4 linked regions of the Drosophila melanogaster genome follow. The protein of the gene in region 4 purifies or fractionates together with the protein of the main gene of each other region. This does not show direct contact. Each region holds a gene or a part of one and is shown on either strand. Other genes may lie near its edges.

Region 1 (4,548 bases), on a different chromosome or scaffold from region 4:
CGATTTGCCAGTAATTTGCAACAGAATAAGTGAATTTGCCAAGTGAATTTCCCTAGTTTTTTTTTTCAACTTGCAACGAAAGTGCTAAAGTTACGAAACTGCACTTTCCACGTTGCACTTGCAACCCCAACAGTTTTTTCCACCAGATCCACCAGCTGAGGGAAAACTATTAATAAACCGGGCGAAGGATGAAACAAATTCAGATGTGACGCCCATCCTCGTCGAAAATCAAAAGTCGCAAGTGAACAATGTGTGTGTGTTCACTGAGTTTGCATAATTGTGAATTTGCTATTTTAATCGCCTGCGGGCATCAATTAATTAATTAATTAAAAGCTTTCCTTCTCGCACTCGTTTATTTGCGGAAAGTGTCTAACAATTTCGTTTGATCAACTAATCAAATGGGTAAATAACATAGTAAAAACGAAGTTTTAACTAACTGCTTTCGCTTGCTTACTTAATATACTTATACTTTCCAGAACTAATAGACTACTGAATATAGATTTCCTATTAATTTGCTTCAAAATGTGGTAATTTAATTAGCTTAGCTGCTTGTAAACTAATAATTTCTAAATAACAATTAGTTTGAAATGCTCAGAATTCAGTGTGACTAATTGGGAAAGCCTTGCAGAAATAGTTTAGCTCATGAATGAATGTATCTCATGCGAGTATAGCCGGCACATCTCCTCCCTTAGTTAGATACATAGATACATAGATACATAGATAGAAGCGGACGGATCCAGCAAGACCATACATACATACATATTGTACAGCTGAGACAGCGAACACCTTCAGCTTTCCGGCTGATCCCAATCCAAATCGCGAACTAGAGCGCAGTGCCCACCATGGATAATTGGAATGTTTTGGCAGCGCAAACCTCCTCGCAGGCCATCGGACTCCACGACTCTGGCGTGGTGAAGACCCGACTGGTGAGTACCCTGTACATAGAACATACACATGTGCAGATAGATATACATATTAGATGTAGTAAACAAAACAAAGCCAGACAGACGAACGATGGCGTATATATAGAATTCTTGGCAACAAACATTGTGCACTGAGAAAGTAAAAGGGGTTCGAAATCTATTATTACTATTAAATATATATATGCAAAAGCAGGCTGTGCGGAAATGTATCTTAAAGTAGGCGCTAAAGGATAAAGCTCAGAAGGTTATTCCTCGGGAAACAGAAGCATTTTCAGATGCATCTTAAAGTATCTAAGAAGTAGAAATATCTTAAGATGAATCCATAGGTTATCCGAACCTACAAAAGGTAGATACTATCAGCAATATCAGATACTTTTAGATATAAGTAAAATATAGTAAAATATCTCGAGATACTTTTATACAGCTTACTAATGATTTTGAATCTGACGAGGAAAGGAAGAGATTTGGCAGGGATTTTATCAGCATGTTTCTCCACGTGCACCGCTGGGTGAGTGGTGCTGGTGGTTCTAGTGGTTCTATTTGTTCTTAAAGAGTGCGTGAGTGGTGTGGTGCGTCGCCCGTGAACAGCACAGCTGATGCATCCGAAAGTAGAGTGATTGAGTGATGCGATGTGGCAGTGCTCTCGTTACTGGCGCTGGTCTATAAATAAGCCTAGGGTTCTCTTGAGTCTACTACTGCCTGGCGGATCTTTGGAGATTCCGATGGCACGTCGATGGGAATGCGGCTCGCAGTAGCGCGAAAGTAGCTCGATACGACGGATATTCTCGCCTCGCAGGCAGAGCACGCGTAGTTTGCCCCGTGTGTAGCTATATTTTTTTTTTATATAAGCAAGTGGTTCCGAATCATCCACACCCAGCCATGGATATATCCACCGATATCTGGGGTCAGCTGGCCGTGGAGGCATCGCAGGTCTACCTCTCCGACGGCACAGTTCGCAGTCCCTTCGCCGATACGGTACGATGGGTTTGGGATATTACTTAGGGATCCCACTCATTTGGGAGAGCCAGTCTGTGGCGTAAGAGAGAGTATCTATAGATTCACTCACCCGTAGAATATATAGCACCACATTCGCACTCAACTATTCCGAACTGTCGTTTAGATTTACATTTAGAGATCATATTTGAATCACTTATGTAGTACCATAGGATATACCACTATATATCGTGACTCTCATCCACAGACCATTGAGAAGCTGCCGGACAAGGTGCTGCTGCACATCTTCTCGTATCTGTCGCACCGCGAGATCTGCCGCCTGGCCAGGATTTGCCGACGATGGCGGCAGATTGCATACGACACGCGGCTGTGGAAGAACGTGAGCCTGCGACCGGAGGTCTCCGGACTGCACGTGGGCTCGCTGGAGATGCTGCTGCAGCTGATCTCGGTGAGATTCGGACCGACTCTGCGCTACATCGAGCTGCCCATCGAGCTGATCACGCACACGGTGCTCCACGAACTGTCCGCCAAGTGCCCCAATTTGACCCACATGCTGCTGGACTTCTCCACAGGTGGGTGCGCCACGTCGCCGATCGTCCGTCTTAAACTCTAGAGTGTCCTGTGTACTTCTTAGCCATGCAGCTGCACGACTTCAGCGAGATGCAGGCCTTTCCCACCAAGCTGCGCTACATGTGCGTCTGCCTCTCGGAGGTGATCTTCATGGAGGGCTTCATGCGCAAAATCTACAACTTCATCAACGGCCTGGAGGTGCTGCATCTAATTGGCACGTACGAGAAGTGCGAGGAGGAGGAGGAGGAGATCTACGAGGTGATCAACGTGCACAAGCTCAAGTCGGCCACGCCCAATTTGCGTGTGATCAACCTGTACGGCATCAACTTCATCGATGACTCGCACATCGACGCCTTCAGCTCGAACTGCATCCAGCTGGAGTGCCTGGCCGTCAACTTCTGCAACAAAGTGACCGGCTCCACCCTGAAGACCCTGATCCAGCGTTCCAAGCGCCTCACCTGCCTGCTCATGAACGGCACCAGCCTGAAGTCGGAGTTCGTCATGCAGGCCGAGTGGGACAAGTGCGCCCTGCAGGAGCTGGACATCACGGCCACCGATCTTTCGACCGAATGCCTCGTGGACATGCTGAGCAGGATCCCCAGCCTCAAGTTCCTCTCAGCCGGCCAGATCAATGGCTTCAACGACAGCGTTCTCAAGCAGTGGATGGAATCGGGCACCACCAGGTGAGCGGAGACAGTACCTACCCGTCTGTGTAAGCACTCCGATAGCAGTATGATTTAGGTCGCTCATTTCCCTGGACTTGGACTCCTCGGACAACATCTCGGATGAGGGCCTGCTTAAGTTTATACAGCGCCAGGGTCATCAGCTGAGCGCCTGCTGTCTCTCGGGCATGCCCCACATCACCGACCAGCTGTGGATGAGCATCCTGCCCCTGCTGGGCAACTGCAAGTAGGCGACACTATTGGTCATCGAATGAAAAGACATTTTATTATGAGCTGAACTTTCTTAACCTGCAGGATCATTGTTATGGGCACCGCAGAGAAGCTGGGCGTCAACATCCACGTGGACCAGCTGATGGACACCATCGCCTCGAATTGCGGCAACTTGGAGCGGCTGGAGCTGCGCTGGGATCCGGACAACCTGCGCTTCTCCGACAAGAGCCAGAAGGCCATCGATATTCTGCGCGTCAAGTGCCTCAAGCTGCGCTGCATGGTGCTCAGGTGGGTCTACATCAGACTCCTATTTCTATGCGGGATTAACATCAATATTTCGCTTCCAGCGATGGTCGCTACTATGAGACGGTCAAGGCCAACTTTGAGCGTGCCGATCGCATCACCGTGGTGCGCACCACCACCTGCTGCCGTGTGTCTCCCTATCACCTGCTCCGCAACTACAACGATTTGATTTTCAACTGAGCCTCTGAGGTTCAGAGCTGAAAGCCAAGAGAGGATTGGTAGCTTGCACTTACCCGGTTGCAGAGCTCTGGATGGGATTTACCCACAACAGGGCCGGAGGAGAAGCAATGTTTCTGTGTGTTTTCGCTTACAATAAGAGTGTTTTAATGTTTTCTGTATTTTCCGCTTCTTTCGTTTAATTACTTTAAATCTAAATAAACGTACATAGGTAATTTAAATAAAAACAAAACAAGGATTTGCTTATACAAGTTATTTTTACATTACAAAATTATACAACGCAACTTTTCGCCTTGCTCTCGTTTTTAAATCATTTTTTTTTTTTTTTTAATCATTTCAATCCGCGTTGATTCGTGTTTTGTTTTTAACTAGATTTACTTGGTAACTTGATTAAATCATTTTCAGACTTCACCACATAAAATGTTTATCGTTTTTGCGTTTTAGCGTTTTGCTGATGATTTTTACACTGCTTTCATCCATTGCAAACTTAATGCTAATTTAATTTTTTTTTTGTGTGTGTATGTTTCAACATTTTTGAATCGACTTTTTACCATAAACTTAACGTACATATGTAGATCATCTCCGTTTGAATTATCGTCTCATTGCCGATCAGCGTTCAGCTATTATATGCATGGTATATAATTTAGTTAAGCATAGCTGCGTGAGTTATACATACGTAATGTCTGTGCCTATGACGATATAGGATCGAAGGTGGGTGCTGTGGTCGA
Region 2 (3,946 bases), on a different chromosome or scaffold from region 4:
TAGCCGGCTCCCTTCCAGGCGCTGCTTCACCTTTACCACTCCACCTATCCGACCATCCACCGTCGTGACTCAGCCCCAGTGACATTGCATTTGCATGTGACTGCCGCTAATTGCTGTAATTCCCGCGCTGGACTTCGACTCCAACTTCCAACTTTGCCGGCACATAATTGCACTCTCCTGCTCCGATGTCCTTTCTCCTCCTGTACAGTTCCGTGCCAGGTTTTCCCTGTTCTTGTGGCTTCGTTTGGCTCACATTCAAACTTCAAGTGGTTTTTTGGGACATGCTTTCCTCGGCGTTTTTGCTTTCCTTCCGACACTTTTGACTTACTTTATGGCCCGGTCGATTATGCTCGCCTTATCGGGCTTTAAATGGGTCTGTAGTTCTATAGGGGTGGAATATCCAATCTCCTAATGCGATTTCTTGATTGAAAATACATTTCCTTTCATAATTTAGCACTACATTTTAAGAATATGCCACTGAAAAGAAGTCAACTGATTTAAGAAAGAATTTCTAAATTAAACATTAGGTCATTGCTTTATTATTGTAGCTACAATAAACAAGAACTTAAGGCTTTAAGGATTCATAATCTGTTTGGAGAACAATTCTGTAGCATACAAATTTTTGCTAGTTTAATGACGTGTAACAACATAATTATTTTGATGTGCTCGTTGGTGAATCGTCTGCCTATTAAAAAAAAATCACACTTAAAATAATCTTAAGTAAGAGACTATATTTGATAACGAAAATCCTGTAGATGTTTGGCATGATTGATTGCTATCCTAAGTTAATGACAAAGAGCATTATTTTTGCATCACAAGTACTTGGCATCTTAGCTATCGTATTCTATGGTTTGGCTGCGAATTTCATTCCAACTCAGCTTACAATTAAATGAAATTAACATAAATAACATAGTAAATTGGCTAGGATTACAGTTCGGTGTGCTTGGGCTTGTTGAACAATCTCTCGCACAGTTTGGCCAAAATCTGGGACACCTCCAGTCGGTACTCGTCCGTGCTGTTGGCATACCGATTGCGAACGGTTAATAGTGCATGCCTGAGACCGGAACTTTGCGACCACGTGCTGGTGCACATATCTTCGGTGGTCTCCAATGCGGTGGCAAACTGTTCCACCACCTCCGGTTGCTCTAGGAGGAGCAGGAACTCCTTGGTTAGCACAGTGTCCACCGCCGCGCAGTAGCCCGGCGTTTTCAGCCACGACTCGAAGTCCAAGAGCACATATTGCGCCATTGTGGATGAGGCTTCGGGATCATCTTTGCTGACATCCAGCACTGACCGCTTCTCCAGCACTAGGTCGCTTATGAGAGTCACTACCTTCGCCTTGCTCCGCAGCTCCACATCCGGACTCTGGAGCACCTTGATCAGAGCCTGTGTACCCGAGGTGGAAAGCACTCGCTGCTGGGCTAGCGGAAATTTCCGCAACAAGGCTCCAAAGGCGTGCAATGCAGCGGAGATCTCACCGACATTTCCGGAACTGGTCAGAATCTGAGCCAGATGAGACCCGAAATTCTTTTCGAACACCTTGATCTGGGCCTTGGGATTGTTGCTCGCCAGCGAGCCCAACACACGCATGGCCGACACTCTCAGGGATGTACTGGTATCGTTCACAACAATGGGCAGTAGTACATCATCCAATCCCCCATTATCAATGAACATCAAGGCATTGTCTATCTGATGGAGCAAATACTCCAGATTTTCCAGGCAGTCCAGCTTGGAGCGCATCTCTGACTCTAGCGGCGTTCTGCTGAAGTTCCGAAACTGATCGATTAACTGGACGATCAGTTCTCCGTCGGTGCGAAAGTTCTTCTGGAACTCTTTGTACGCTTTGCGTAGCTCGGCATAGCTCTTCTTCTGCTCCTTGACCCGCCGTATAGACTCCTCGATTATGTCCGGTTTATAGTCCAGAGCCAGGGGTTCGTTGTCATCGTGAGATTCCCGAGCATTCTGATCATCCGGTTGACTCTGCAGCGACGTGCCACGTTCGCTTTCGTCTAAGAGTTTGGCTTCCTTGAGCCCCGTTTGTAGGTTGATGCGCACGTGCAGGCCCCTTGGAATAGCTTGACCTGGAAATATAGAGTGCTCACTTAGTACACGTCATCCGAGAGTTAGCCTGGCTAGCCATTAACCTTCCGCAATCGTCTGCCATTCGTCGGTGGCCACGAAATCGTTGGTTTTGTTATCCGTTTCCGTTGCCGCTGCCACTTGTAAGCATCCCAGGATCAGGACACTGCCCAGAAGGATGACTACCTGCTTGCCACTCATACTGCTTCAGCTTGTCTTGCCTCCAGAATGTATTCAGTCTTTATTTCACCTGGTTTTAAGTAAGTTTCGTGAGAGTTTTTAAATCAGATTTCAGACTTCTGATGTGGATGTGGTTAATAGTATGACCGTAGGGAGCTGCATTGATTATACCGCATGTGGCGATATGTTCCGTGGAGAGCCAGTCGATTCGGAACCAGTCAAAGGCGGTTACAATTCAATTTCAAATTTGAAAATATTTGTAATCAATAAATTCGTTATAAACAATAGAATATATTAAAGTATTGAAAAAGTGTAAACTATATGTATGCTTTATAATCTTTCTTTATATTTATTAGATTGTGCTGTTGGACATTCCAAGCCAAATCTTATATAAATAAGTAATACAAAAATTAAGTAAAAATTTTTATGGTTAATTTTTGCTCTTAGTCCGGAATAGTTGGAAACTTTAAATGATTTCAAACATTATTTCGCTAACAAATTAATTTTTATCCCTAACGAACACAAATATTAATATTTTTAAACCTTAGTTTGTTGTGAAAAACAAGCATTGCTAGAAATTTCCAGACTTGAAATTAATATTTAAGAACCAGAAAAAGTTAATGCCATTCAGAACGATTAAACCACATCAAACCAGAATGCCACCAAAAATTCCCAAACTCATCGTGAATTCATTAAAAATTGAAAAGTAACCGCCATTCATAAGCTTTCCACTTCGTTACAACGTAGCTAAACTAGTTATAAACTAAACGTATTTACTGAGTTTACAAAGAAAAACGAAATCATGTTTACGCGCAGATGAATCAACCAACTCAAAATTGAAATGCCAAATTATTTGCAGGCAAGCCCGACGTAATAAAATAAAAGCGTGTTTGCATATATTACCATATTTCGCCCCCGAAAATCCGTTGTAATCTCGATGTCTACGACAGCGTCTAGGAATTGGCTGCGCAAACACATCAAAGTGGACAAAAGTGAAATATTTGGACTCACCTGGCGCCAATTGGATGGGTAAATAAACAGAATGCCGGTTTCATGCCAATCACACACCAAATATACATATACATATGTATATATGTAGTATATGCTAATTGCTGATGACGAACGCCAGGAGCCTTTAACTAGAATTTGCCAAATTAAATTCACTCGGCCCGTTCCGAACGTCGCCTGTCCAATAGTTTTGAAAGTGAAGCCACCTCGCCGAGCAACTTTTATCCGTCGATCCATCCATTATCGATTATCGATGCCGTTGGAACCTGTTTGATGTCGTCCAAAATGCCCGACTATGTCTAATTGGTTTATGTCGGAATTGAGTTGTGTTGGCCACAAAAAGATTTATCTTCGTACATATGTCCAAAACGGAAATTTCATAGTTGGGAGCCTTGGGATGCATTCTTCCTTCTGGTCGGAATACAATTTCATAACTTAAGTGATTTTTATCGTGGATCCTTAACCATGACCTATTCATTATCATTCCCTTTCAGATTGCCTGGCCATTTAGCACACTTAGGAATTCCCCCAGAGGTAGGTTCCCAATTCCAAGTGCTGATCTCAAAGCAAATATGGGATGAATAATATCATAAGCCAATAAGTACGAATTGATATTTGCACTTTATTAAAAGTGTGAACAAAGCGCGGATTCCATTTCACGGAGTTTGAATCTATAAAA
Region 3 (4,287 bases), on a different chromosome or scaffold from region 4:
AGGATGAGAAATGCACCAGACTGGTTAGCTGCTCGCCGCTTATGAACATCCTTAGGCCCCGGGGCATGACCCAGGCGGAGAAAGATGTGTTTGCACACAGGCAGTGTGGCCTGGACCCCAATGGACACGAGTTGTTGCACATGGTTTATGTCTGCTGCCCAGAGTTGGGTGACGTCTTGCCCAACAAACAGACCTGTGGACAAACGACGCCCGTGTTCCGAGATCGGGGTGCCGAGAATGCAGAGCTTAATGAGTACCCTTGGATGGTATTGCTGTTATATGAGAATCGGCTATCCTTGATGTGGAATCAACGAACTGGTTGTGCGGGCTCACTGATCAACAGTCGCTGTTCACACATGAACACGAATATATTTAAAGACTTACAATTTTGGGCTCCGTTCATATCTTATGTAAATGAATCGAGAGCGATAAATTATATTTAGGATTTTGTTATCTAAGGCGACATGGGTGCATTGCTCAAAAACATGTAATTTAAGTGCACACTACATGAGTCAGTCACTTGAGATCTTTCCCCGCCTCCTAAAATAGTCCCTTAGTGGGAGACCACAGATAAGGTCCTCGCCGCTCAAGATAGGCAGATGTGCCCGAGCGTGGGACCTCGATAAGGCGGGGACTATTTACTTAGGCCTCTGCGTAGGCCATTTACTTTAAGATGCGATTCTCATGTCACCTATTTAAACCGAAGATATTTCCAAATAAAATTAGTTTCTTACAAAAACTCAACGAGTAAAGTCTTCTCATTTGGGATTTTACAGTCGCTATGTGCTGACCGCTGCCCACTGCGTGATCGGTGGTTACTTGACGCAGAATGACCTGGTTCTGAAGAGTGTGCGCCTGGGCGAGTCCACTACCGACTGCATCACCTCGGAAAGCAGGTGTCCACATTTGGATGTGGAGGTGGGGCAAACAACAGTACATCAGGGTTTCACTTCGAGTGGCGGAACTTACCGCAACGACATCGCCCTCCTCCGATTGCAATTCCCAGTGCGGTGAGTAGCAGTGATCTCCACCCTAATCTCCACATCTTATGGAAATTTCTTTACAAACCCGCTAGATACACGAAAAAGATCCAACCCATTTGTCTATTGGACGCCGAATTTCCCCTACAGGATTTGAATTTGCAAATCTCTGGCTGGGATCCGACTAAAAGCAGTCAAACGTTGATCACCAGCACGGTCAAGGAAAGGAATCCTGCTGATTGCTTGAATAGGTATCCCAGCTTTCGCTCCGCGTCCCAAGTATGCGCCGGTGGTCAACGGAAAGGGGACACCTGTGCGGGCATCTCCGGCAGTCCGGTAATGGGCATCATGGGAAGCGGCGTCGACGAGTTCGTCTTTTTGGCAGGCATTGCCTCATATGGACAACAATATTGCTACTCTGCTGGTATTCCAGGTGTTTACACAAAAATTGGCCACTTTTCGGAGTGGATCAAAGCGAATTTGGCTCCCTAATTTTAATAAAGAATTCATATTTGCAAAATTGGAATAGCATCTGTTCCATTAATCCACTACTATAAAGTAATAGACCTATAAAACCCCAAAAGATAAGAAAAAGCACTGAAGATTGTTTTTTAAAAAACGTGTTGTTCAAAAAACATAACGTGCCGAGAGAAGATTAAGCATAAATAAATTTCTAATAACTACACCGCTGGGTTTGCCCAGCTCAGCAGAACTACTATGTAAATATTAAGGCAGGGAAAGACCACCCTATTCACATAGCTTTTGCCTTTGTTGCAATCTAGATGGTATTGAGTCCGGAGATAACCTCTGCTAATCACGCCCAATGCATCGGGAGAGAATCGGTGACAGCGAAACTGCCGGACAGCTTGGTTAGTATCAGCTTGGAGCCCATAGCGACGAGATGGCTTCTACGGAACGGAATTTTCTGCTACTGTCACTGGTGGTCAGCGCATTATCCGGCTTGGTCCATCGATCAGGTGGGTAAGCTGTCCTTTGGGCAAACAATATCCACAGCAACTGGATGCAATGGTGCTTCTTTCAAAAGTATATAGTTCTATATATATAGTATAGTATAGTATATAGTTTGAATAAAGCTAGAAAAACTAAGCACTTGACCTTGTTGATTGTGAGAATAAAAACCATAACAACTAATAATCAAAGAGTTTTTGAAAACTTCAAATATATTAAATATCAACATATAGTTTCCCGGACTAAGAAATTTTATGAGAAATATTAGACATGAAGTCCATTAGTAGAATGGATTGCCTTTAATGGATTGGTTCAGAACCGGTTAGACTGCATCGTAAATCGCGCTCTTCTCTTCCAGACGCAGCGGAGATCAGCTTTGGCAGTTGTACGCCCCAGCAGAGCGATGAGCGCGGCCAGTGCGTTCACATCACCAGCTGCCCCTACCTGGCCAACCTGCTGATGGTGGAGCCAAAGACTCCCGCCCAGCGAATCCTTCTCTCCAAGAGCCAGTGTGGCCTGGACAACAGGGTTGAGGGCTTGGTGAATCGAATCCTGGTCTGCTGTCCGCAGAGCATGCGGGGCAATATCATGGACTCGGAACCAACTCCTTCGACGAGGGATGCACTGCAGCAGGGGGATGTGCTGCCTGGAAATGACGTCTGCGGCTTCCTTTTCGCTGATCGCATTTTCGGGGGCACCAATACGACCCTCTGGGAATTCCCATGGATGGTATTGCTGCAGTACAAAAAACGTGAGTAGATTACCTACCCAGGCTCTATTTTAATCTCTTATAGGAAGGTTGTTTCACGAGGTCACCTGTAATCATTTTTTAATCACTTTTTCAAATCAAATTCTCCAATGGGGGGATCATCATTATAAGAAAACGCATATTCAATATATACAAGGCTATTATTAGTATCTAATCAATTTATAATATGTACTTGGGAAACGCTCTTTATCCTTTCAGTTTTTTCTGAAACCTACACTTTCAACTGCGGCGGTGCATTGCTCAACTCGCGCTACGTCCTGACCGCTGGACACTGCCTGGCCAGCCGAGAACTGGACAAATCCGGTGCCGTTCTACACAGCGTTCGCCTGGGGGAGTGGGACACTCGTACCGATCCTGACTGCACCACCCAGATGAACGGACAGCGCATCTGTGCACCGAAACACATCGACATTGAGGTCGAGAAGGGCATCATCCACGAGATGTATGCTCCCAATTCCGTTGATCAGCGTAATGACATTGCGTTGGTGCGCCTTAAGAGGATTGTTAGGTATGTGGTCCAGAGATCCCTCAATTATTCCACTGACTTGCTTTTTTGTTTTTGCCACAGCTACACCGACTACGTGCGTCCAATATGCCTTCCCACGGATGGTTTAGTCCAAAACAACTTTGTGGACTACGGCATGGATGTGGCCGGCTGGGGACTTACCGAGAACATGCAGCCAAGTGCGATCAAGCTGAAGATCACCGTCAACGTTTGGAACCTAACGAGTTGTCAGGAAAAGTACTCCAGCTTCAAGGTGAAACTGGACGATTCTCAGATGTGTGCCGGCGGCCAGTTGGGCGTGGATACATGCGGTGGCGATTCCGGCGGTCCCCTTATGGTGCCTATATCCACGGGCGGCCGGGATGTCTTCTACATTGCCGGCGTCACCTCCTACGGGACGAAGCCCTGCGGCCTCAAGGGATGGCCCGGCGTCTATACCCGCACGGGGGCTTTCATCGATTGGATAAAGCAGAAATTGGAGCCATGATGAATACATACTTAAATACATGATAACCATGTGAAAAGCGCGATGTAGATATTGGGGTTTAATCAATTCACATGAGATCGGCACTGTCAAGTTTTGCGAGCACAACCGGTTGTAATAATATCGAACCACTTTTCTGTCAATCTGTGATCAGCAAAGTCTGGTAGTAGCTTGCCCACGTAATTTCCCATATTCTAATGGAAAAGTAGAGGAAAATCTCTGGAACTCATTTATCTCTGTTGCAATAGCCATCTCACTTGTCAATCTAGACGGCAGATGTGCCGGAGAGCTTGGTCAGTATCGGATTGGGTTCTGGGGTATCGAGATGGCTTCCATGGAATGGAATTTTCTACTATTGCTAATGGTCATCTGCGCATTTTCCGAGTGGGTCCAACATTCAGATGGGATGCCATAAACGACAACGATTTCACCTGGATCCGCTTAAAATTTTGAAATATATCCACACACGAGGTGGAGAAGGGCATTGTACATGACCAATAGTTGCCTAATTCCGTAGACCAGCAGAATGACATTGCTTTGGTTTTGAAAAGGAGTGGCATTGAAAAGGAGTGGCGGGTGT
Region 4 (7,783 bases):
TACAGAAAATATTAAAGAAATCAAAATAGGTGTTCGAAACATCAACTCTTCAAGTTTTTAAAATAAAATCATTTTAAATAAAGTCAAATTATCCTACATCAATGATTTCTTTAATGTTCAAATTTGACTAGCATTTAACTTTTTATAATCAACTATTTTTTTTTTTTCTAATATAACCAAGTACATTTTCACCTATTTTTTCTTCGTGGAAAAGGGATGTTGAATGAGGAGCGAGGATCCGAGCCAAGAGCCGCATACAAATGAGGCGTACCCAATGTTGACAATGAATATTAACCTTGAGTGGTGCCCCAGCCGGTTTTTGCCTGGCCAAGGTCATCTCATCCCATCGCGATGCCAGAGGATGTGGATGCGGAGATGGTGTGATGAGATGGTTGCCGATAATTGCCATGGGCATCGACTGGAGTCGACCTAATGGAAACGCGGTGAATGTCATTCGCGTTGATGTGTGTAATCGATTCTGCAGAGTTGTTTTATTAAATGAAATGCTAAAATGCAATTTATTCGATTCAAAATTACATTGCATGGCTCTTAAACTATTAACGTAACAACCGAATAAATGTTTCATACGACCTTGATGGTACAGATTTCTCGGGACTTATAGCGACAGCTGATACAAATATCTCAGATTGAAAGCCTCGTGTTTGCCCACAGAAACTTTATGAGATGCACTTCGATCCGGAGAAACAGTTTCCACTTCTACTTGAATTCTACTATATAATTTCATTGGTCTTAGCTGCTATCGATTGGGTTCACATGCGAAGTTTGCATTCACAGTCACTTGGCTGGTTTTCCAGTTAGCTATTTGGCTGCTTTGCACCTCGACATTAAGGCAGTTGGAGAACAGCTACGATTGAGACTGGATTCAGACTGCTAACCCAGTTTTAATAATCACGAAGTGGAAGTTACTCCGCGGTAATTACCTTTTGCATTCGCTAGATTTTTCAATTTTTTTTTGCTTTTCGCCTTTTGTTTGCGGCACGAACGGCAGTTTAGCTTTTCGGTGACTGACATATCGCATCGTATAAATCTCAACTTAAGTCGAAATTTAATAATTTTAGAGCCCAGGCATTAGGAGTTTTGCTGGGCTCGAAAATTTTAAATTCTCGCCTTGCTACACCGATGCAACACTGGGAGAAAAGCCCTATGCCTGGTCCTTCTTTTTACGCCCGAATGTCTCTCCGTCCTCCAGGGTTTCCGGCAGTGGAGTTCCACGTGTCTCCGGCAAGAAAATTGTGCCGAGCATTGCCAGAATGGAGAAAATTCCAAAGATCAGGGGCGCCACCCACAGACCGTATGCAGCCAGATCGACGATGAGCGGAGCAACAATGGAACCTATTCGACCGACCATCGAGCAGAGACCAACCCCACTGGAACGCACAACCGTGGGAAAGAGCTCTCCGCCGTACAAGTAGACATTCGGAAAGGTGATTGATGCGCCAAAAAGTCCAATTGTGGCGCAGGTCACACGCACAGCCTCTGCCTGAGTAGAAAGGCATGCCAATAGGATTAAGCCCAAAGCACTGCATCCATTGGAAAGAAGCAGGGTCTTCTTGCGTCCGAGGTACTTGGTCATGAGCGCACAGAGGCATGTGCCTGGAATGCCCACTCCGGCGGCGATTGCATTGCTGATGAAGATGTTGCCGCCCAGCGCGGAGACATACTGAGCGGTGCCGTAGTAGACCATGCAAACCACTAGCCAATTGTTTGCCATGAATATGGTCTTTATCCGCATATAGGGTGTCCGGAATAGATCCACGACGGTGCCTTTTTTGACCGGCTGGCGGGCTGCCAGTGCCCCATAGGCAGCTTCGATCTCCGGCCGAATCGTTTCCGTCGGAGCCTTATTACACTTGGCGATCTTCTCCAGAATCTTTATGGACTTGTCCAGCTTGCCGGTGGTAAAGAGCCAGCGTGGCGACTCGGGAACCAGCCAAATGTAGATCACGAACACGATAGAGAAAATGGTGATGCTGAACTGGAACCAGCGCCATTCTCGAATAAAGTAGGCAAACAGGGCCAGGGAGGCGTGGCCGATGTTAAAGGGGATTTGGTAGAGAATGGCTACCATTTCGCGCTTTTTGGGTCCCACGATTTCCATCAGCAAGACGAAACTGCGGATGGGATTAGTCATTTATATTACTGGGAATATCCTTGGTAGTGCCTTTACACCCACCTGGTGGTCATCGTTCCCGCCGTGGCCACAGCCACCAGGAACCTAAAGAGGCAATAGAACCAGTAGTAGGGGGATACGCAGACGATGAGGCCAGTGATCAGCTGCATGAAGCAGCACGTCAGGAAGGCAGGGCGTCGTCCATACCTGGGAATTGAAAAATTCTATAGTAGGCGGACTAACTCAAAAACAGAAAAATTGTTTTAAAACTAATAAATAGGTGTTCGCTAATGGTCCACCAGTTAATCTAGTGGTTTAACTAGTAAGCCAGCAAAGGCTCTATTTTACCGACTTGCTTTCAGGTTTCTTTTAGCATAAGAAAACTTATTAATAATCTTGAGATACTCACCGATCAGCGAACATGCCAAACAGAATACTCCCGAACAAAATGCCCAGCATGACGATACTTTGGGACAAGCTAGCCAGCTGTTTGCTTTCGCAGGTGAGATTCCACTCGGTTATGATGGTGGATTGGAAGACGCTAGTGTCGAACTCGGTCTCGGAGCATTCGTCACTGCAGGGATCCGTGACGTTCTCTGTCTTGCAGGATAACGGCGTTGGTGCTGCGAGGAATATGTGGCCGAGGGTGTGCCATCCCGTGCCAAATTTGCACAGTAGAACGATGAAGAAAAAGAATAACTGGTAGCGCCGGAAGTCGCCGATCTGCGAAATTATCGGATCACCTGTCTTGGTGACGGGTTTCAGTGGCTTTGGAGCCTTTGGATCCTGCGGTCGATCGGCCATGTTGCTGAAAACTAATGATTTTTGGCTGTCAGTCAAAAAAAAAGTGTATATTTTGAGTGTTTGTAAAATATTCTAAATTTGTTTTTTTCAGTGCAGTGGCCTACCAAGCCGACTGGTTTCTTAGTGGGTGGACTTTCTCAAATATTTGCCGGCCTCAGAGCAAATTGGACATATCGACCGGTGCGGCTCAGTGCAGACTGGCGTGAAATATGGAACCCGGGCAGATGGAGATTTCGTTTGCGACCGGCCACCAGAGAACCGGTTTTCGCGGAGAGAGAGCTCCAGTCTGTGGCAGCGTGACAAGTTGGAGCTCAAAGACATAGCAATCGGCGGGGCTGGGGGCATTAGCACTTGGCCGCTTGGATCCACCGCCAAAATGGCATTTGAAAATAGAAATAGGAGTACGGCCTCCATGCGCCGCTGCAGTTTGTCAGCCCAAAAGGCCAAGAGACTGGGGCTAAGACGCTAAACTTTTACTCTTTAAGTAGGTAAATGAAGTTGGCTGCCTGGTTAATTGAAGGAAGGTGCGCCCGGGGACCCGGCCCGATGATGCTGGGATCTAGCTGGCAGATTAAGCCATTGTCTGCCCGCAGATAACCGAACGAGCCCCAGTTACCCATTAAGATGGCTTAATTAAGGAAGCACTGCCTCAGTGAAAGTTGAACCGGAGAGAGAGACGAAGGTCTGAGATTTCTGGTCGGAGATTCCGCCACAAGTTCCCACGGCAACGACAACCTGTCTGGCGAAGGCATTTGGCGCAATCGTCAGTGGCTGGCAAAATGTCACAACAATTGCAAATAAATTATATATGCAAATTGGCTGGCCAATGAATGACAAAACGCAGCGTTATAATACGATCGCCACATGCTAAATCTGGCAAGACACAAAGCGCTCACTTGGGAACTAAACAAATGCCCAATGTTTAAAGCAATGCCATTGTCTGCATTCATGGCATTTGAATGTTGTCCTGCTCATTTCAATTGCGATTAACATATTTTACCTCATTTATATATGTGAGGCAAAAAGCACTTACCTAAAGAGCCGATTTAAATGGCAATCAAAACAAAAACAGTTATAAGTAGGTCGAAACCAATTCTATTTATATTAAGTAATCGGAACTTTTCGGGGGCTTGTCTACCGCCCGAGTTATATAACTCAGCAAGTTGATTGATAATACTCTGTTCGCAATCTCGCACTTTTTGAACTACGTCTGGTGGGCTTCGACGCTCTACTATCAATGGCAGAAAAATCTCATCTTGTCTCGCCGGATGAGAAAAGCAACTGAGATGGCGATAAAGTCGTGTGTACTTTAATCCCAGATGATAAGAGGCGTTCGACAAGCGTCGCGAATATGACAAATAATGCCAAATGCCCTGAACTTCTGGCCAACTTGTGCGAGATAACACGTATATATTGTTTACCTGCAGAAAGCCTTTGGGCAAATGTTAATCATATAATCAGTTGAGCACACATTCAGCTTAGCCTACCTTATAGCTCCTGTATTCCAAAATAGATGATGTTTTGTATAAATTAATAGAGATGTCTCGCCGTGAATCCGATAGCTGATCACAATGAAATCCAAACATAATCACGCAGTGTTCATCAGTTTAGCACGCGTTTATCAAACTCCAAAATGTTTGGTTTACCCATGATATTGAAAGTCCAAATATCAATAAAGCGAGTCGCATTGTTGACTTATTTGGCAAGACGATAATTGAGTATAATTTTAGTAATATTTTTAGTTCCTAAACGTTTCCTGTAGATACAAACTTTTGATTTGTGCAAATCAACTTATTAATATGTTAAGGTAATAAATTATCCTAAAAAGACACATTTTAATTACACGTGACTAATTTTTAAAAGATGTATTGATGTTAAGAGCTACCAGTTCAGTAATGTATTAATATAGTATATATTAACGATGTGTTGTATATTTTGTATGAGTCACATGCTATTTTGAAGTTGAGAATTCCACCAAATATTTACTATACCCTTTATTAATATTATTTATTTATTTATTTAAATCTGAAACTAAAATTTCAAGGCCCAGCCGATATACTGTGTATTTGCGAAACTAAATCCATTTAAATGGCCCCGTTTAATATTTACATTTGGTGGGCTGACAAGTGTTCTAAGCCGATTTCAGTGCCCCGAATGGGCCGGCAAGCGGACTGTTTGGGCCAGATATTTTCCAGGGGATATATATATGGCCCGGCAACGCTCCAATTAGCACACAAAAGGATTACAGGGGAAATGCCAAATTTCTGGCGCTGCACAGAGAAGCACTTGGCAAGGCCAACAAATGTTTTGGGCCGGCTTTGGAGCGCTTTGCGGTTTTTCTTCCATAATTGCCGAACGGGCTAGGTCCGAACAGGCCAGGTCCGAGCTGAACTGAACTGAAGTGGACAGTGGTCGAGTGGACGAGGATTGCGAGGAATCCACTTGAGGTCCAGCGAGCAAATCAAGCGGCAGGCATTTAATTTCAAACTGCCCCCTCATCCGAACACACCATGGTGCAATCAAAATATTTTATAGGTTGGCCATAAAGAAATTCATAAAGCGAACGGCAGCAGCAGAATCAGCAGCAACTGCAACTCTGCCAATTCATACGAAAATTGCTAACTCAGCGCTCACATATATCATTTTTATGCGCGGCCACGCCCCTTTCAGCTCGTAGTAAATTGACAAATGCAGCGCGCCAAGTCTGTGAGATGTCTTTGCCACTATTTAAGGTCTTTCACGAGGGGATCGAGGTGGAGTTGGAGGTGGAGCTGGATGCTGCATGGCAATGAAAAAGCGCACCGAAAACTATGAGCAACGCTTAGCGAAATAAAAGTGCTTGTAATATGTAGTTAAAATCCAAGTAAGGCGATTAATGCGAGAGCATGGCGACTGGGAGATGCTCTCCAATGATTATCTCAGAAACGAAATAGATAAATATTTAGTGAATTTTAAGACTTCTAATAACAAGGTAGAGAAATTTCAAGCGGAAAACTTACCTGTGCCAAGACTAGCTCCTTTCTGGATCAGCACTTCACACCTGCCAAGTGTTCGCTTCCAACTGCGAAAAATCAATATACTCACCTTACTTTATAAATGGAAAAATTGCCAAACCACCCTTGAAGCAGAAACACACCTTAACCTGCCTGTTTACTTATCGAGCATCTGCCTGTCTGTCTCACTGCAATTAGCTACCTGAGTGAAGGGAAAATGCATCAAAGTGTTTGAAAGTAATGAAAGTACGTGTTTCATTCATTAGAATTATAAAAGTATGCCACACCATATGATTAATAATATGGATACTCGTACACTTTTTGTATCGTACACTATTATATCATCTTCTTTACTTTATTAGCTTAGATTGCTGAAATGCCCAGTCTGAGATTGCAGGGTATGCGTTGTGAGAAGAAGCAGCTAGAAACAAAGAGCCGCATCAACGGTTTTGGCTCTGGTTGCCTTGGCTTTTTACCCCGTCCGTCCTCTGTAATCGCCCCTTAGTTCTTCTCTAAATCCTCTTTGATTAAGTGCTCAGTCTTTTATGTGGAGATTTTTTAATCGTTACCTCGTCCTCCCAGCAACGAGGAGGACCGCAGTCCGCAGTCTGTTGTCCGAAGGGCGTCCATGTGACCATGCCCCGTAGATTAATCGCTAATCTGTCCCTAGAGGGCGTACTGACATTTTTAAAAACTGCGCACTGTCCAGCAGAGCCAAGGAAGCTGCCTCATGGCTGTCCACTTCATCCCGGGCCATTTGAAGATGTCTTTGGTTTTTATTGTCGGACGGCACTTGGGCACTTCCATCATTCCCATTCCCATTCCCGTTCTCGTTTTCTTTCGAGGATCCGTAGGACTCGCATTCGGACCACGATTCGCACCTCTTATTCAGTGCCTTTTCAGCCGCCCTTTTTGGCTTTATAAATAAATTAATAAATTTTAGCCAGCATTAATTATTGTGCTGCTTGGTCGGGTGCGCAGATTAATGTTTTAATTTCGCTAGCCTAGGCTTCGATTAATTTATGCGCGCCCTGTTTGCAATTTGTGCGCCATTTTTTGAGTAATTTCGCCTGGCCGGGGGCGATAAAGTGCATTAACATGGAATGCGGCTGCCGCTGCGGGCAGCTAAAATTGTTAATTTCGAAGCATCATAAAACGCGGCGATATGTTGCAGTTTCGTTGCCGGGCCCCTTTCAATTTACACTGGACGAACTAGCCGGTCGTCCTAATGTGTGTCACATAAATCAGCGGACGGCTCATCCAATGCGGCTGCCCATTTCGGTGGTTTCGGGGCTAGGGATTAATCCCAGAAGCTGGTGGGGTTGATGATGAGCGGTCTGCCAACACTTCACAGATTGATGAGTGACCTGATCATTAGTTGTTGGCCGACTAGGTCGTTGCTGCTTAATCGGTTGAATACTTCGTTAAGACCAGATTAAATTCAGGTTTTTATCGCACTTAAGTCATTTATACACTAATCACTTTCAGGAAAAGTATTAGGTTACCCATTAAACAATTTTTAGTTAATGAGCTTTATACCTATGAAGAACCATTTATCCAGCTTACTAAATATGGAAGTAGAAACAGTATGACTACTAGTTCAGGGTTCATAGAAACTTTTGGTTTTTCAAGGTACATATGTAGGTATCGGTTCTAATGAATTTGATGGCCAGCAGCCTTGTCGGGCCTTGTGTTACCTGATTTACGCGTGACGGGCACGCAAATCGAGGCGTTTAATTTCCGCCGCCGACAGCAGTTCTCACCGCAGCCTGTCAGTCAGCTGGGCAGCTGTCATAATACCGCTCAGCGAACCACCACCCACGACCGCCGATGACCTCCGACCCAGGAGTACTGA

The links.
Region 1: the proteins of CG8654 (region 4) and FipoQ purify together in Drosophila melanogaster (affinity purification with mass spectrometry, with the first as the bait; one large-scale study listed by BioGRID). This does not show direct contact.
Region 2: the proteins of CG8654 (region 4) and Sil1 purify together in Drosophila melanogaster (affinity purification with mass spectrometry, with the first as the bait; one large-scale study listed by BioGRID). This does not show direct contact.
Region 3: the proteins of CG8654 (region 4) and SPE purify together in Drosophila melanogaster (affinity purification with mass spectrometry, with the first as the bait; one large-scale study listed by BioGRID). This does not show direct contact.

What each region holds. Positions count from the first base shown.
Region 1 is NT_033777.3:29,494,876-29,499,423, forward strand, and holds FipoQ (F-box involved in polyQ pathogenesis), read left to right. Parts: upstream 1-1,665; 5' UTR 1,666-1,802; coding exon 1,803-1,898; intron 1,899-2,124; coding exon 2,125-2,449; intron 2,450-2,511; coding exon 2,512-3,130; intron 3,131-3,188; coding exon 3,189-3,356; intron 3,357-3,424; coding exon 3,425-3,628; intron 3,629-3,687; coding exon 3,688-3,823; 3' UTR 3,824-4,048; downstream 4,049-4,548.
Region 2 is NT_033777.3:25,233,118-25,237,063, forward strand, and holds Sil1 (Sil1 nucleotide exchange factor), read right to left. Parts: upstream 2,413-3,946; 5' UTR 2,281-2,412; coding exon 2,145-2,280; intron 2,082-2,144; coding exon 928-2,081; 3' UTR 519-927; downstream 1-518. UniProt on the Drosophila melanogaster protein: Required for protein translocation and folding in the endoplasmic reticulum (ER). Functions as a nucleotide exchange factor for an ER lumenal chaperone of HSP70 family.
Region 3 is NT_033777.3:23,684,405-23,688,691, forward strand, and holds SPE (Spatzle-Processing enzyme), read left to right. Parts: upstream 1-1,850; 5' UTR 1,851-1,881; coding exon 1,882-1,957; exon of another isoform or gene 1,958-2,133; intron 2,134-2,307; coding exon 2,308-2,700; intron 2,701-2,916; coding exon 2,917-3,226; intron 3,227-3,286; coding exon 3,287-3,710; 3' UTR 3,711-3,743; downstream 3,744-4,287. Other genes in the region: CG18754 (uncharacterized protein), read left to right, coding at 1-301, 777-1,010, 1,076-1,472.
Region 4 is NT_033778.4:19,977,461-19,985,243, reverse strand, and holds CG8654 (uncharacterized protein), read right to left. Parts: upstream 6,003-7,783; 5' UTR 5,935-6,002; intron 4,705-5,934; exon of another isoform or gene 4,423-4,704; intron 4,368-4,422; exon of another isoform or gene 3,969-4,367; intron 3,135-3,968; exon of another isoform or gene 3,040-3,134; intron 2,947-3,039; 5' UTR 2,936-2,946; coding exon 2,541-2,935; intron 2,339-2,540; coding exon 2,195-2,338; intron 2,133-2,194; coding exon 1,163-2,132; 3' UTR 349-1,162; downstream 1-348.